2 linked regions of the Neodiprion lecontei genome follow. The protein of the gene in region 1 interacts with the protein of each later gene in a pairwise test. Links are inferred from orthologs where the notes say so. Each region holds a gene or a part of one and is shown in the gene's direction. Other genes may lie near its edges.

What was found.
Region 2: the proteins of proliferating cell nuclear antigen (region 1) and uncharacterized protein LOC107216851 interact in a two-hybrid assay, tested with the Drosophila melanogaster proteins (2 studies listed by BioGRID). The link is inferred for Neodiprion lecontei from reciprocal best matches to the Drosophila melanogaster genes PCNA and dap.

Annotation. Positions count from the first base shown.
Region 1 is NC_060260.1:30,415,436-30,425,397, forward strand, and holds proliferating cell nuclear antigen, read left to right. Parts: upstream 1-2,888; 5' UTR 2,889-5,032; coding exon 5,033-5,253; intron 5,254-5,681; coding exon 5,682-5,847; intron 5,848-6,265; coding exon 6,266-6,410; intron 6,411-7,310; coding exon 7,311-7,561; 3' UTR 7,562-8,102; downstream 8,103-9,962. Other genes in the region: zinc finger protein 37 homolog, read right to left, coding at 9,155-9,541, 9,691-9,855. UniProt on the Drosophila melanogaster protein: Likely to be an auxiliary protein of DNA polymerase delta complex and is probably involved in the control of DNA replication and repair by increasing the polymerase's processibility.
Region 2 is NC_060263.1:20,993,431-21,000,585, reverse strand, and holds the start of uncharacterized protein LOC107216851, read left to right. Parts: upstream 1-2,560; 5' UTR 2,561-4,747; coding exon 4,748-5,381; intron 5,382-7,155.

The DNA of each region.
Region 1 (9,962 bases):
GAGAATCGTTTAGATCGAATATAGGTAACCGGGTAGGTAGGTGGACGTTCTGGGATCCGTCGCAAGGTTATGCATGCGTGTGTGAGTCTTTCTTTTCCGTTGGGCGGTTGCGTTGGGTAACAGGCAAGGGTAGGAAGGTCGCGATGTACCGTGATGTCACTAACTTTTGTAATCCACAGCGTCAAACGATCACAGAAATTCTTTTCCCAAAAGACTCCGTATTCGAGTCTCTCGACCATTTGTAAGCATTTGAATATTAACGAGAATTAATTTACTATTTCTTGTCACTCTGCAACCATTTTTCAATCGTTGTTCAATTCAATTATTTAGTCATTACCGATCATTATTCCGTTCAATTGAACTCTGTGATCGTCTGAATGGGCAAAACGCATCTCTGGACCATCTATCGCGTTCCGTGGTACGCTAGATGGGGAGAGATGCTGAGCTCGAAGACTTCGCGTCGAAGAGGACCGCCGACCGTCACGCCACACAATAATGCATGCCCTCCTCCAACCTCCCTCCCAATTTCGATTTGTAATCTGAGAAGAACAATCCGCATAGCAATGTATCTAATTCGAAAAGATGCAGATGCGGATTGGGTTTCTACAGAATTTTTCGGGGCAAGTCCCAGGTAATACAAATTTTTTGACAGTTTATTCTGTCGCGCCTTATTGCGCGTAGAATAATCAAGAAAATTGGACGCAGCCTTTTGCGCGTAAATTACTAACGGGAATCGGACACGTTTTTTTACGCGTCGATTTTGCAAACAGTATATAAAAGAGTTACGCACTCGAGATGTGCTGATCTTTCAGCTCATGGGTCAATTTTTTGACGAATTTTAAGGTTTTCAAGTTCCACGCCGCCTTTTGCGCGTGGACTTGATACTTCTTACTTATACGAGAAAGCGCGGCATTCGAAAGCCGGCGCTCAACGCGCAGGAACAAAAATCTCGGTAGTATATACTGATAGTGTAGAATTTTGGCGTAAGTATTTATGAAATATATCTGAAATGTACAGAAATAGTCGTTTCACTGATCGTATTATTTTCTATTTCAGGGCAACAAAACTTTGCGCAGAAAGTAATGTCGATTCAAAAAGTTTAGAATGTTTTTGATACATCAATAGAATGAATATTAAAGCGAATATTATGTTGGACTCGACCCATTTTTGGTCAGTGGATGAACTTATGTGATTGTGCTAACCACACCTTCGTCTGTTTCAGCTAACGAAATCTTTGTTTGTTTCAGGTAATCAGACTTTCTGTCCTCTTCAGCTAATCAAACTTTTTGTCTGTTTCAGGTAATTGAATCTTTTGTCTGTTTCAGATAATCAAACCTTTTATCTGTTTCAAATAATCAAACCTTCTGTCTGTTTCAGATAATCATTCAGCTAATCAAATTTTCTGTCTCTTTCAGCCGATCAAGCTTTTTATCCGTTTTAGCCAATCAAATTTTTTGTTTGTTTCAGCTAACCAAACTTTTTGTCTATTTCAGCTAATCAAACGTTTTGTCTATTTCAGGTAATCAGACTTTGTCTCTTTCAGCCAATCGAACTTTTTGTCTAATTCACAAGTTAATTAAACCTTTTGCTTGTTTCAGCTAATCGAATCTTTTGTATGTTTCAGCTAATTAAACTTTCTGTCTCTTTCAGCTAATCAAACGTTTTATCTGTTTCAGCTAATCAAACCTCTTGCCTGTTTCAGCTAATCAAACCTTTTGTCTGTTTCAGATAATTATACTTTCTGTCTCTTTCGGCTAATTAAGCTTTTTGTCCGTTTCAGTTAATCAAACCTTTTGCTTGTTTCAGCTAATCGAACCTTTTGTATGTTTCAGCTAATTAAACTTTCTGTCTCTTTCAGCTAATCAAACGTTTTATCTGTTTCAGCTAAACAAACCTCTTGCCTGTTTCAGCTAATGAAACCTTTTGTCTGTTTCAGATAATCATACTTTCTGTCTCTTTCGGCTAATTAAGCTTTTTGTCCGTTTCAGTTAATCAAACCTTTTGTCTGTTTCAGCTAATCAAATATTTTGACTGTTTTAACTAATCAATTTGTCTCTTATTCGTTAATTATATTTTTCACTTATCTAAGCTAAGTATATTTCTGTTTATATCGAAATATGTCACTAATTTTATTTTCATCTGTTCCACGTAAGTGAGGTTAATTGACTGTTTAGGTCTGGTTCAAGGTCAGTCATCTTTTCACCGATACATAGATTTAGCGATGTATATAGTTTATTTTTTAATGGTTTTACAGTCTTTTATTGCGCTCGTTTTAGTGTCATAGTTTTTTTTCTCGAGTCGCCCATAGGTCATGTTCGGTTTGTATTTCACTGTATAATTATATAGCACTGTCGTATTTTGGTGGTTGTGTTTATCCTACTCCGATTTGTTTCCATTTCTTCAAAGATTTCTGCTTAGTCTTCCGATAGGTAAATGCCAGCGTCTTACGGCGATTCGTATTTTCGATCTTGGTTTAGTTGTGAATTGTTTTGCGTATTCACCAAGTTCTCCATTTTAGTGATTATCTTATACATCATAAGAAAAAAAACCGTGCCCGAACATCCAAATACAATCACCGTTCGCTTACAAGATAAAAACTATCACCCTTCATCTATAATTAAAACAGCCAACTTTCATCTACAATTAAAACAGTCATCTTCGATCGATAATAAATAGTCAGCTGGTCATATTAACTGAAAAATTTCGAACAAACTCCGAATATCCGCGAATACAAATTGATTGGGAAAAACAATTTACCGTAGTTAACATGTGAAAAAAAGATATTTGCAATTTTTCGAAGAATGTAAGATCGATCTTGCAAGTATTCTCCGTGGAGTAGGCCTACTGGGGATACCACGTAAAAAAAAAACGCGCCGGGTGCTCTACCGCTTGCGGTGGTGTGGAAACGAGCATAAGCGAACTTATTTTCATTTGTCAAATACTAACATATTGTAGTTTTTCAAATGACAATTTTATTCTTGTATAAATTTAGCTTATTGTCAATAAGATTCGTGCTTCGGTTATGTGTAACGCATGTGGAATTGTAATACCTTCGGATTTCGCTAGTTTAGTGAGAGTGAATTCCACGTAAATATATTTTTCTTTTTGATAAATTTCGTTTCTTAATTAAAGTCAACAAAGTGCACATACCTTTGGCAATTCCGACATCTTTCTCCCCGGCTTGACCTTTCGCAGTCGACACAGGTTGTTGACATAAAACACTATAATTGCATACCAAATGAGCACGTCTCCCATAACAAACGATAAAGAACAAAATATTGAAGCTCATTCAAAACCGGTCACTAAAAATGACAACAAGAACGATGTTCAAATTTTGTACGTTCGAGATACGGGTGATCCGTCTAGCACAGTAAGAAATTTACTCCCGTCTTCTCTTTTGAATCTATATTCTTGAAAATTATTTAAAAATTTTGATGACAAATTTGTATACCCGCTTGATTTTTATATAACTTAACTGAATCAACTGTTAAATACTTTGTTCAAAAAATCATTACACTTACATACATAAAAAGAAAGGCAACTAATATGATAACCTGCATTTTAAAATATTACCAATTGATTTTAGAACCAATCAAAAGTCACAAAAGAAATGCTTTGTCAAATTATAGATATAAATTTATGACCTTCGACAAGAATGAAGTGATCCGTTAAGAACGCAAATCACAGATCAGTTGAATTAAAAAATATGACTATTTGAGTGGGAAAAATTTTCAACGGGTGATTATTGTTACTTACAACATAATTGTGAATAAAATAGTGTGTACAAAAGGTCGTACTAAGTAAGATAATACGTAATACGCGTATGCTATAAATATTCATCTTATAAATTGCAAATACGCCGTGAAAGTTGCGAAGGCCGGACTTCCATCCAGAAGATGCATTCGTAAAACGCAAAAAAAAAAAAAAATGATGCGTCAATAACTAAACGTTTTACGCATACGTTGGCTGCCTCGTCACCAATTCCAACGACCAGTACACGCATTGTTGAATAGCGATCTTCGCAGGAAGAGTATCGCTTGGAATTTAATGGACCTATGTATATTTCTCCAAAACGGACAATCAGCCCACCACCGGAAACCAATGCTGTTCCAATAACTCATCAACGATGCATATTTCTTGGATAATTATGAAGCAATTACATGAATTACTGACAAGTTCCTTGTAATTTTAACATGTATAATGTAAATCATTAACGGTCTAACAATGTCTCTTATACAATTTGTAAAATTCTTCTACCTAAGTCTGCAAAATTTATAAATTCTGTTTGCGGAAATCTGTAGAAATTCTTCGGTAGAACAGAATCTTGTCTCAGAAAAGACTAGTGGATTGTTGGAAGCAGAATACTTAAAACTTTCGGAAGGTCTTACAACCTTTAATCTGTATTTTTTTAACAAAGATATCGTAGATAATTGATGAGAATTTGATTATAAAGAATCCAGAAAATCCATCTTTAGGTAATATCAGTATTTAGCTTCTGATATCCGATATATAGTATCATTACACAATTGTATCCTCTGGGTAATATTATTATTAGGGGTTACCGAAAAAGTGCTGAAATTCCGAATAAAACAGTATTGACTTTGTCGGGAACACATATTCTCAAACTCGAAGTTCCTAACAATCAACACGGACACTGCCATAAATGTATAATAAAGTGGACAGGTATGAGTAATTATAATCTTAGCCACTCGATAATAAATTTCTGAACAATCTTGTGTTGGGGGGGTCAGCGTACAGAGCCGCAAACGCTTTCAGCTTTTGGATTTGTTCAACTGAATTCGTATAATGGCGCGCTTGTAGATAAAGAAGACTGGTAAGGGCCTCTACATCCTCTCGAGAGATTTCGGCGCCAACAAAACGCGGGTAAAATCTTGCTCCCCAGTCCCGGTGTTTAATGTCTGTCTTGCCGGCTTGTTGTGGGTTGTAACTTTACTGTAGACTGTGTTGCGGGTCTTTTCACCAAGTACATTCGTTTTTAATAGTTTCAAAGTTGATCGAAGAGGAGCTAAAAATGTTCGAGGCACGTTTGGTTCAGAGTGCGATATTGAAGAAGGTTTTGGAGGCGATAAAGGACCTCCTAACCGAAGCCACCTTCGACTGTTCCGATTCGGGAATTCAGTTGCAGGCTATGGACAATGCTCACGTTTCTTTGGTGTCTTTGAATCTGCGAAGCGATGGCTTCGACAAATATAGATGCGACAGAAATTTATCGATGGGCATGAATCTGGGCAAGTAAGTTGCTTCATCAAACTGGTCGCCCGTTCTTTTGAGAGGTTATACACACAGTGCCGATACTAAAATTTTAAACGCGGCTGCTTTGTTCTCAGCCTTGAAAAGAGTAATCTGCAATTCTTAGCAATTACATCGTATATTAACAAGAAAAATGACAACACTGGCAATATAATATCGTTTGTGCGTCACTTGCTTGTATTTTTTGGGTAACAGTAATGATGATAACTCATGAGTGAATGCAAATTTCGTTCACACCTTATTTGCCCTTTGTCTTGAATCGTCATCTTATTAATACTTGATAGCTGATCAACGTGAATATCAGTTTTGTTACTAAACATTATGAATCACTGTTTTACAACATGTCGTCCCTGTTACATATCGAGTCGTACTAATTCAATGATTTGAACCCAAAATATTATAATTTTCAGCATGACAAAAATTATGAAATGTGCTGGAGCAGAAGATACTGTTACGATGAAAGCTCAGGATAATGCTGATGTGGTTGCATTTATGTTTGAATCCAAAAATCAGGAAAAAGTTTCAGATTATGAAATGAAACTTATGAATCTAGATCAGGAACATCTTGGTATTCCAGTAAGTTCCTGTTCTTGAAGTAGTAATAACTGATTAGGAATACGAATTCTGCAATATTTTTGTTGGAAAGATTCATTCATGTTTTATCAATTCAGCGAAAGAAGACCCAAACTTCTCAATGCAAAACTATTTGGTCCATTTTTGACATATTTGATTCAAGCAACGAAACAAATGTTTGTGTCCAAACCGTTTTGAGTTTTTTGAAATTCATGTGTAACATAAACAGTTGAATTCTGAAACTGTAAAATGCTCGGTACATTAATAAATACAATGTGAGCTATCTCAATTATAAGAAAACCTATTTTGCACAGAATTAGGGAAAGACTATAATCCTTGATCCTTGAGTATTGTTATTAGTGATAATGTGTAGGTGAAGATAGGTGCAGAGTGTATCAACAATCATATTTTTTTTCTTCAGGAAACTGACTATTCTTGTATCGTTAAAATGCCTTCCCAAGAATTTGCACGTATATGCAGAGATCTGAGCCAGTTTGGTGAATCCATGGCTATTTCTTGTACCAAGGAAGGTGTGAAGTTTAGTTCAGCTGGTGATATTGGTTCAGGTATACAAATGAACTATCATTACACTGTAAATTTAGATAAATACATTCATGATAATAATACCTCAATTAAATGATAAAAAAAATTTGTGCAACATCTAAGAACTTAAATTTTGTCGATCATATTTGACAAAGCACAAGATTTACCATGCTTTATTTTTCAACTATCTATTGACCTTTGTTGCTTCCTTTCACTACCAGGGAGATTAATCGCCGACATATTTAACACTTTGCCATCCGGCGACAGCACAGTGGTGACGTGCGCAAACTGGTGGCCAACGACCGGCGACACCACAGTGGTGTTGTGAGCACAGTACCGCTCTGGGTCGGTGACGACACTTTAGTGTATTTAGCTTTCTGCTGGTATTTTGTTTCGGTAACAATAAGTTACACAAGTGATCAAACTTTTTATTTGTATAAGTTCTTGTGCCCTTTCATAATGGCAGACGAAAGAGACGATGCAAATATTTACGACGAATGCGCGGACGATTTGTCTGACGTTCCGGATGACTTGGCCGATTGGGAAGACATTGAAAATGAGAACTAACGACGAAATTAGTAAAACTTAACAATTTATAATCTCCCGATAATGTCAAGAACGGCCGGTGACAAGTCAAGTGATCCGAATAAGCGCTGCCGGCGCCAGGCGAATAAATATTTACGAATCGTGCGGACGGCAAAGTGTTAATATAGTGACATCTCTACAATTTTGAAATCGTCAGTTTATTATCAGTTGAATTCAGCCAAACGATTTTGCTCTTATGTTGTATTGTTAATGAATCAAAATCTCAATGTCAATGCACATAAGTCAGGTTATCACAAGCATGTAGCTATGATAGTATGAATGTAATAGTCGAGGCAGTGGTTTCTCTACTTCTAGTGGTATTTGTTTTATTATTTCAGCCAACATCAAATTAGCTCAAACTGCAAATGTGGACGCTGAAGAGGAAGCTGTGGTCATAGAAATGCAGGAGCCAGTATCATTAACGTTTGCTTGCCGGTATTTGAACAGTTTTACAAAAGCAACACCCCTTTCTGCTCAAGTTCAACTTTCAATGTCTGCCGATGTCCCGCTGGTTGTTGAATACAAAATTGGGGAACTTGGACACATCAGATATTATTTGGCACCTAAAATCGAAGACGAAGACAACTAAGGACAGGATCTGGTATTCGTGTTGTTATACCGCTCATTTTTGTTACTGTACAAAACTGGAACACTGCAAAACATGGTGTGTTCTGAGATGAACCCTATCATTGTGCCTTGATGTTGGAGAAATGATCCATGTGAGCAGTCGAAGAATTAGTCACTGGATATTTTAATAAATTCCTTATTTTTCATCGTCATAGAGCGATTTCCAACTTTTATACATTCTGTAACTAATATCTATAACCAATACTAGATGACAATATGAAGTACTTCTCAACGAAATGAGTTAATCAAGCTGACTGATATTTCGAAGGTAATTTATTAGCAAAATGTACAGTTAAAATTATTTGGCTGGCCACAATGTTAATGTGATGAGGAGTTGGCTCTAAAATCTGCAATAGAATAGCGTGATCACATGGATTAATTTAACGTTGAGTTACTTTGCAATGTACATTGAACAGCTTCTGTCATAAGCCGTGCTTGTTTCGAAAGTATTGCGTTTGTAGCATAAGAGGAGAACCAAATATATTTCCGAAATTTTTGATACATTTTGTGACTCTTAATTCCATAACCTAGCCTAATTGAAGTTTAAAATTTAATTAATATATTTCTTAATTCGTAAATCTATCCAAGCTACGGTAATATAAAAATACATAATTAGCTTACGAATTGCCTAGAAGTATATAATTAAATCTTAAGTCATTTGGATCTTGAATTAGTATTTAGTAGTTAAATATCGATCATTAGAAGGTAAATAATGGCTAGAAATATTATACACTCAATTACTCAGGTCAAGATGTTTATAAGATAATAGTTCACTCATTATTTCTCGTACATTCATTAATTATTATTACTATTATTATTATTATTTTTATTATTACCCTTTACTTCAGTAAATTCTTTTACAATAATTTTTGCAAAAATCGAAATAGCAACAAAATGTAATACTTTGGCAATATTTGTCAGCCTCTTTGGTTAAAAAGCCCTGGTATTGCTTTGTCGTCTACTATTTTGCAACTACATGTTAATATTTTTTTTTTTTTCCGATTTTAGTTTTGCTTTTTTGTAGTGGATTTTTACTTTAACTATATTTATATATCCATCTTATACCTAATATTTGATTCACTGTAGAGACGTTTTTATAGATGCAAGTTACACAGGACTTGGCAAATGTCAAAACTGCAAGTGGAAACTTTGTTTCTATAACTTGGAGTAACAGGTGTATGCATGATATTATGTAAGTTTGACAAGTCTACTCAATCGTCATGCACATTTTAGACGAGTAAATTTTAAATAGAAAATGGAACATTCCGTATGACCGACGAATGCTATGATTATTTCTATCTTTCGTTTTTGACACGTCTCATAAAATTGGATCTTGTAGTTTTGCATACGTATAGGGTCATTCATTTATTGCTGAACTTGAGGACCACTACCGCCGCAGTTCTACCTGGCACTCGCATCAGGGGTCCTCTCTCACCCGGGTCGACATTCAGCAATGAATGTATTTCAGTGGCTCTGCTATTCATAACTGACAGCAGCGTTACAAAGCCTAGCCACATGATGGTATGCAAAAGCAAAGAAAAAAAAGGAAAACAACTTAAGTATTCTTATTACCATTACTGCCATATAAGCTAGGGTGTACAAACTTATCATGAAGCGTTCGCAGATGTCTTAGTAAATTACTTTTAACATTAAAACCTTTCTTGCAGTATGAACATAGAAACGGCTTTTCACCAGTGTGTGTTCTCTGATGAATAACCATTGATGCATGGCTGGGAAATACTTTTTGGCAGATGTTACATAATTTTTGATGGCTGTGAACTCTTTTTGGTTTTGGAGGCGCTGAATTATTCATGAGCGCGAGTTGTTCTTCGGTATGTTCTGTTTGTATGTGTCGCACCCATTCTTGAGGAGTAGGATACATGTTACCACATAGGTCACATTTTAGAGGTGGAAAATCTTTACTATCGTCATCGGTGTCACCCTGCATTTGAAGAAATATTTCATGAGTGATTGGGGACTAGTTGCATGGTAAGACACGGTCTTCAAAGAAATGTGTAATTCTACATGCAGCCATTTCTCATTGTCAAACAAGTGGCATATAAGGATTCAATGCAAATGAAATGGAGTTACCTTTCGTTTTCTTCTTCTATTTTCCGTCATATCGGCATGGGTAAATTCTATGTGTCGAACCCAATCAGATGGTCTGTTAAATGTTTGGCTACACATGTCGCAAGTCAGAGGCGTATATTCCTCTTCTTCCATTTCTCCTTCTTCATCAGCACTGTGTACAATCTCCTATCGAACAACAATTTAACATTATTATTATTATTGGATTATTAGGTAATACTGTGTATAAGTTGAGTCTAAATTTGGCAAGTGATATTCAGTATCACAGACTTAAG
Region 2 (7,155 bases), on another chromosome or scaffold:
CATCTTTCTCTCTCTCCTTCTCCCTCGCCTCGTGGCGCAGTATCGATAACGGTGTTCGAACGCTTCGCGCCTCAAAAAGCGAGGCGACAGAGGCGCCGACGGCGGCCGCGACTCGAACTAAACGTCGATGCCGCGCGGTGGCGCATCGATCGCAGCGCAGCCATCGCCATCGGATCTCGTTGCGTAGCAGCGAGGCGGGCAAGGCGAGGCGGGAATCGTCGATTGGAGCTGTTGGAGCTGGCAATAGATAATTAGAGAACTTACGTTGGACTCTCGCGAGGTTAAAGACGACGACACGACAGCGCTGCGCGGCAGAAGGCACTCGTTCCGTCACTGATACTTGTTTACGTCGAGAGTCGCGTTAGGAATGAAACGAGGCGACCTTGAAACGAACGCGAATCGAGGCTGATGAATGAAAAGGGAGTATTCGCAGAACACGTTAGACCGTAAATTCTTGCCGGGGAATGTTCCGATATTATTGAAAATTACGCGAGCGTTATTTCAGTCACGATTTTTTTTAAATATATATTTGTACCTCTTCAAAACGATAAATATTACACGTATGTAACCTGTGCGTGATTGTATAAATATGGGTGTACACATACCGTGTTACGCCGAATCGTCACGAGGTTACGCACAGTTAATAAAATTATATTCACGGCACACGCGGTTTTGAAAAAGGTGGATAGTGAAGGAACCAAAATATAATGCAAGATGTGAAGACATTGGCGGAGTAAAAACTTTCACAACAATTTTCGTAATGATATTGGTATTTTTTCTTTGATTCGCAAATTTCTGTAATGACTTTTCCAAAAAGAGAAATGTCTTCGCATATTTACATTTCGGCATGTACATTAGGTATCTGCAAAATTCAATACAGCAAATTAACGCTGAATTACTCATATGTAAAAAATTATAAACCAAACAAAATGTGCGGCAAAATTCTTGCATGTTATGTAAATACAGCAAACTGGAAGCCATGTTATGTAATATTATTTATGTACCAAGTATCAACGAACCGAAAACTTTGAGTATGTATATTATACATAGGTATATGATTGTACATAGACGGGTAGGCATGAATAAAACAAAACTTAGCCCCCGCAATTCTCAGATTGCGATTTCATCTCGAATTTAACGCACACACCCGGTGTTTGACGGCAGCGATCTTTCCTTATAATCTGTTTTTCTATTTCTCTAACATCGCGGGTCGCAGCAGCTGCCTAATAAAATTATACACAAACAAAGTTACCTATATAATCAGCGATTGGAATCGCGAGATTTTCTGCCGAGCGTCGCATAGGTTAAAGAGGTCTCCAAAACCGTTAAAAAATCGTCTATTTTTTCTCCTTAAAACCCTATACACGTCGATACGTATTTGTTTTTTATTCTTCGCCGAAAATCTTGGACTCAAGCTTTACACATCGAACGATCAAAATTATATCTATCGGATAGAACTTGTATCTATTTTACATACATGTAATACGGTTAATACAGTTTACAACATTCGAAAGGAGGTACGGGAATTCCGATCGTCGTAAATGTCTCATCAATCTTGGTTTACGTATTACAATATGAACATATGTGAATCTTGTATACATAATGAATCGGAATCTTGGAGTGAAATGAACGATTCAACTCTGTCTTATTTTCACGATATTTTTTCCTTAATTTTGTATCGGGACTTGAATCGTACACAATATTCTCAAAAAGCTGTACATAAGAAATAGAAGAATTTCAATCCTTTCCGCAATTATCGAGCCTGATTCAAATATCCCGCTCTTCTGTTCGCGATCTCTCCGCCTCAATTACCGCTATCAAGCTGCACTCTCGCAGTGCAAAGTGTACACGCACGTATATACGCTTCTGCGTACGTACATTTATACATACCTATATGTACAGGATGAGATACGTGCACGCCGTACAGCGTCGCGTTGTGATATACGAAAACGCGTGTGTAACAAATGCGTACACGCATACACGCATACGAAACTCGTATCATGCCCATTCGATCTGCGTGCGCATGGTCAACGGTTACAGGTTAATATCGCGAAGCCCCACCACGTCTGACCAAAAAGCGCGATGGTGGGGGTGGAAAAGATGCGGCAGAACGATGGAGGGGCCGCGAGTCCCGCCCGCAGTCCTTCAGACGATTGAGGAATTAGGAAAAACCGCCGTCGACGACTTCGTGCATCACATGGATAATGATCGACCTCTGCCAACGCGTTGCCAGGCCAAGGGACGCGTACGTTAACCTAGACGAGAAAATGTGCGGTTGAATTTTTGGCGCAGAAAAACCCGGCTGATGGCGCCACCGACGGCCAAGAAATAAGAGAGACAGATAAATTGGGAGTTCGAGCAGGAGACAAAGAGAGAGCAGAGAGAGAGAGAGAAAGATAAAGAGAGATTGAGGGTGCGTGGCGAGAATTGGGGTGGAGAGGGCGGGACGGAGGCGCAATTGGCTCTCCCCTTCCCTGTGACACCCGGTTTGCCCCTCCCCGACGGGATCGGGAGAGTGTGGAGTTGCCGTGTGACGCTGAATCAAAAACTCTACGCGTTCAAACGGCGTTCCACAACCGCCCGGTCAGGATCGCGACGGAGGCGCGCGCGCAGTGTTTTGAAATAAAAAAAGAAAAAAAAAAGCAAACAAAGCTTCGAGAGAAAGAGAGAAATAGAAAGGAAGAAAGAAGGAGAGTTTTAGTTGAAAGTCCCGCGTTCGGTTGTCGATCATTTCGTTGATTCTCGACCAGGAAACCAACCTCGGCGCGATTTTAATCCCAGATTTCACGATATAAGGAAAAAAAATTAAAATAACGCGATTTTCTCGTACACGCAAGAATTCCTGTACATCTATACATAGAACGCGATAACGCGCAGTGGTAGTGGAGTTCTGCCTTGCCACTGCTGCAACTGTCATTTTTGTTATTGGCGGGAAGTGTGATATGCACACGGGTGGTGTACGCATATCCATGCAGACTTATACGTATTGCCACATCGTGTGGCTTAAGTGAATACATGCAACACCCACGAGGAGATGTTCAATGATTACCTGTATACAGTGTCTGTTACACGTGTAGATTTGAGAAAAGAATTTTTTTTTTATTGCTGCTAAGATTATTTTCTTGTCTCAAAAAAGTGGAGGAGATTATTGAATGAAATCTCTTTTTTAAAATACTACTTAAAACACAACCACCAAGGTGCCGATGATAACGGAGTAGTTTTGTCGTCGGAAGAATATTAATAACAGTAATGATAATTCAACCATTGATAATTACAACCTGAGTATAACGTCGTGAAGTAAGAAAACACGAGAAGAATAAAGTCAAAGAAAAAAACGTCACACGCGTTGCAAAAAAAAAAAAAGTATAAAAATCTCATTCTGGCATATCTCGCCGTCCTTATTTCTCGACAACTTCCACGGATGCCCGTCTCTCCACCACAGTCCTCAAGTCGCTGGTTGGTTGTGTTGGTGTAGTTTAAGGTTTGTTGCGAGCTCCGCGCTCAGAAGTTCCTCAGGCCTCGCGCACCGACCGCAACGTTGCCAGATTTTCAATATTCTCCACAACCCGCGCTCTCTCTCGTCGTCGACAGCGTTGACTTGCTCGCTCGCTCGCTGCTTCCAGAGACACACAAAAACCCGCCTGTGTATATACGAGCACGCATACAGAAGCGGAAGTTAAACCGTGAGCTGGTCACTTAACTGCGCGGGCGCGTCAAGTCCTCGAGGTTCCTACCACGCGAGAAAGAGAAGCATCGAAGAGAGTTTGATCATCATCACCGTGGTCGACGTCGTTTCGTGAATCGGAATTTTCTTACGTGCCGAGATAAAGTGTAACAGAAGAGAAGTGCGCGATATAAGCCTAGGAATAATCGTCGGAGTACTGTTCAGTAATCTTTCCACAAACCGATCAAAAAGTGAACGAAGTCGAGGAAGCCCGCGCATTTTTCTTTTTCGTCCATTCCAACTCGGTTCGCACTGTGTGCGTGTGTATATGCGTACGTGTGTACGGAGCTCGTTTGGAAACTTCGAGTGTATTTGCGCATCGGTGTCAAGTGCGTACGTGTTTACGCGGGCCGTGTGATAAATAGTCCCGTGTGATTTCACGCTAGCATTCAAGTGGTGGAATTTGTGTTCAAAGTAGTGGAAAGTGGTGTTTCAAAAGCACAGAGTCTCGACTTTTGACCGTGCGGTTAGTACCGAATACCGATTCGATTCGGCGTGCGCCCCACAGCAACGCGATTCAGCGCCTGTGAAAATCCACACGAGAAACAGATATCCTTAAGTACGTGAGAGAAAGTATCCCGATACCGGCCTCCAAAGTATTCTAAACGTTCCCGTACAACATCGTCTACTATAATCGTTGCGAAAACGGTCTAAATCGGGGTTGAAACTCTTGGGAAATGGATATTTGAGTGAATAAGAAGAGGTCGGTGCAGCGATAAAAGAGGCGGACATTTTGAACGACGATAGTTCGTCCGTCTCTCTCCCACCTTCTGGCCGAGTCCGGCAATAGAGGAGGCGTGTAATAATCGTTGTGTGTCGTCGTAACTGCGCGCGCGGGGCGAGAATCGCGCCTGTGTGTCGGTGAGTCGCAAGTTCCTGTGTGTTTGCCTGTCGGTGCCCAGCGCGGCTAGGAATCGAGACGAGACTAGGCGGTGGACCGAGACGGGCGACTCGCGTGTGCTGACCAAGAGACTCGCGGAGCGCCGCGCCGCGGCGACAAGAGGCATCCAAGGGGCGAGAGATATGAGCGCGCGAGTTTTGAACCCGATGCTAATGACGGAAATGGGCCGGAGTTCGGCGGGCGGCTTGCAGCAGGGCCGCGGCCGTGTCGTGCCGACGAAGGCTGAGCTGGCTCCGATCCGACGGGACCTTTTCGGGCCCATCGATCACGCGGCAGCCCGCGCCCTTGCCGAGCGTGAATTGCAGGCCCAATCGCGTCTGGACGCGGAGCGATGGGGCTTCGACTTCCAGTCCGGGGTGCCGCGGTCCTCGACGAGGTACACCTGGGAGGTCATCGCGCCGACGGAGGTCGTCCCCGAGCCCTACGCCCTCCGGGGCATGCCCTACTTGCGGAAACACGCTCCCAGCACACCCCGAAAACCGGCTAAGGTCAAGGCGGCCACCCTCGCCAACAGCGAGGCCAAGCCTTCCACCGTCACGACCACCCCCCTAATCGCGAGAAACGCCGAGATGACGCCGCCCCAGGAACACCGCGTTCCAGACATCGACGATCGGTCGGACGACGAAACCACTCCCGACGCCACTCGTCCTCACGATGAAGAACGCGAACTCGACGAGGTCAGGCTCAAACAGTCCCCCGACGATCCGACCACTCCCGTTCTGCCACACGCCGCGAGGAAACAGTCAACGATCACCGGTGAGCCCTTCTTTTTTTATTAAATACTGCACGATTCGTGACCGAAGACGATATCCTCCCCCTCATACTGCTCTTTTCGTTCTTCGGACATTTAGAACTCCTCGCAGAAACTGGTTGTGGCCAATGAACATTGCATTTCCTTCATCGTTCATGAATGAGAAAGATGATATGCTTGAACGATACTCATCGTGATAATGTGTGTAAATGAATGAAAAGAAGTTTTGGGGAAAAATCATATCAAATTTTTGCACTGAGACGACGAATCCAACGGTACATCAATCTAGTACAGCATATCTCAGACAGCACTAGAGCCAAAAAATTCGTCGAAAAAAAGCATATAATTATACGCATGTAGAGGTATTTGCATGAAGTTTTTCGGGGTCATATATTATGATCACTTTTTACTAAATTCTTTATGGTTGTAGAGAATATCAGGTTTGCATGTTTAGTTCGTGTTCGAAACAAGCAACGACTCGATCGTTTTTATCACATCGATCAGTAGTAGGTACATATGAGTGAATACCGATGATAGAGTAAAACTTCTTTTTAATACTTGAAGCAAAATTGTTTATATCAAGTAATTGTACGAATAGTAACATTTTTCATCTATAAAATTCCAGTTATGGAATCTTTCATCCGGTCTCTTCTTCTGCCCCCTTAATTTGTTCTTTCACTCTATCCTCTACAATTTTGTGTATAATGTACCAAACGAAAGCCTATATGTACCTCTACTGTCCTGTGTCGTAAATTTTAATACCCGTGGATAAAAAAAATAATATAAAAAAGACGTGCACGTGCCGTGCTTCATTCATACAAAAAGAAGTTCCTCCTCACTCTTGACAATCCTCTGTAACCTGCACGTGAATAACATGTATGTCATACACAATATATGCTGTACTACCTGAAAAACGTAGTGAACCGAAAAATCCTTATGTACATATTTAAGAAGACAACTGTAGTAATGTGTTTTTTATACTCGTTTCATCCGGTTTAAAATAATTTACCTACCATTCTCCCGAATGCCTCGTGCAAAGATCATCATCGTCATCGCCGTGGTGACACAAAGTTTTTTTGTCTGCGACGTAGTTTTCTGCAACACAAACCAACGAGAGTGTCAAATTAATACAAGGTTGAAGTTAGTAACGACTGTAACGGTATCAAAACTGAACGCTTAACGAAAAATCACTATTTCGCAGCTTGAGAGTGACTTGAAAGAAGTTCTCTTTGCAAAAATATCAGCTCCGTAATACCGTGTGAAAGTTGACTGAATTTTATTCATAGATGCAGTCCCAAAGTTGCGAAATAACAAGTTTTCCCAAAAATGCATCGTTACGTTCTAACGTTATAAATTCCAGCCTCTTAAATTAATATATTGCAATGACAATATGTATTATATAAATGCATCTGAGGGTTAAACACACATACATAAACGAGAACGCGATTTGCGCATAAATTATCGTGTTATCTGCGACACTGCAATACGTATGTGTATATGACGATTTACGAGCACCTTCGGAATAACAACAGCAAGCAGCTACTGCACTGTCTGATCTTAACAATCGGCAAACAAAATTGGAACGACCTTGTCGTCGGCCGCTCAAATACACACATATTTGTGTTTATATGATAATACCTATCATAAACTCAATTTTACACACACACACACACACACAGACACATTTTTGTACATGCAGCACGTATACAGTAACAACACGATAACTATAATACGTGTTTCCGTAGGTACTGACCAACTCTCACTGTTGCTCCGTTGTCG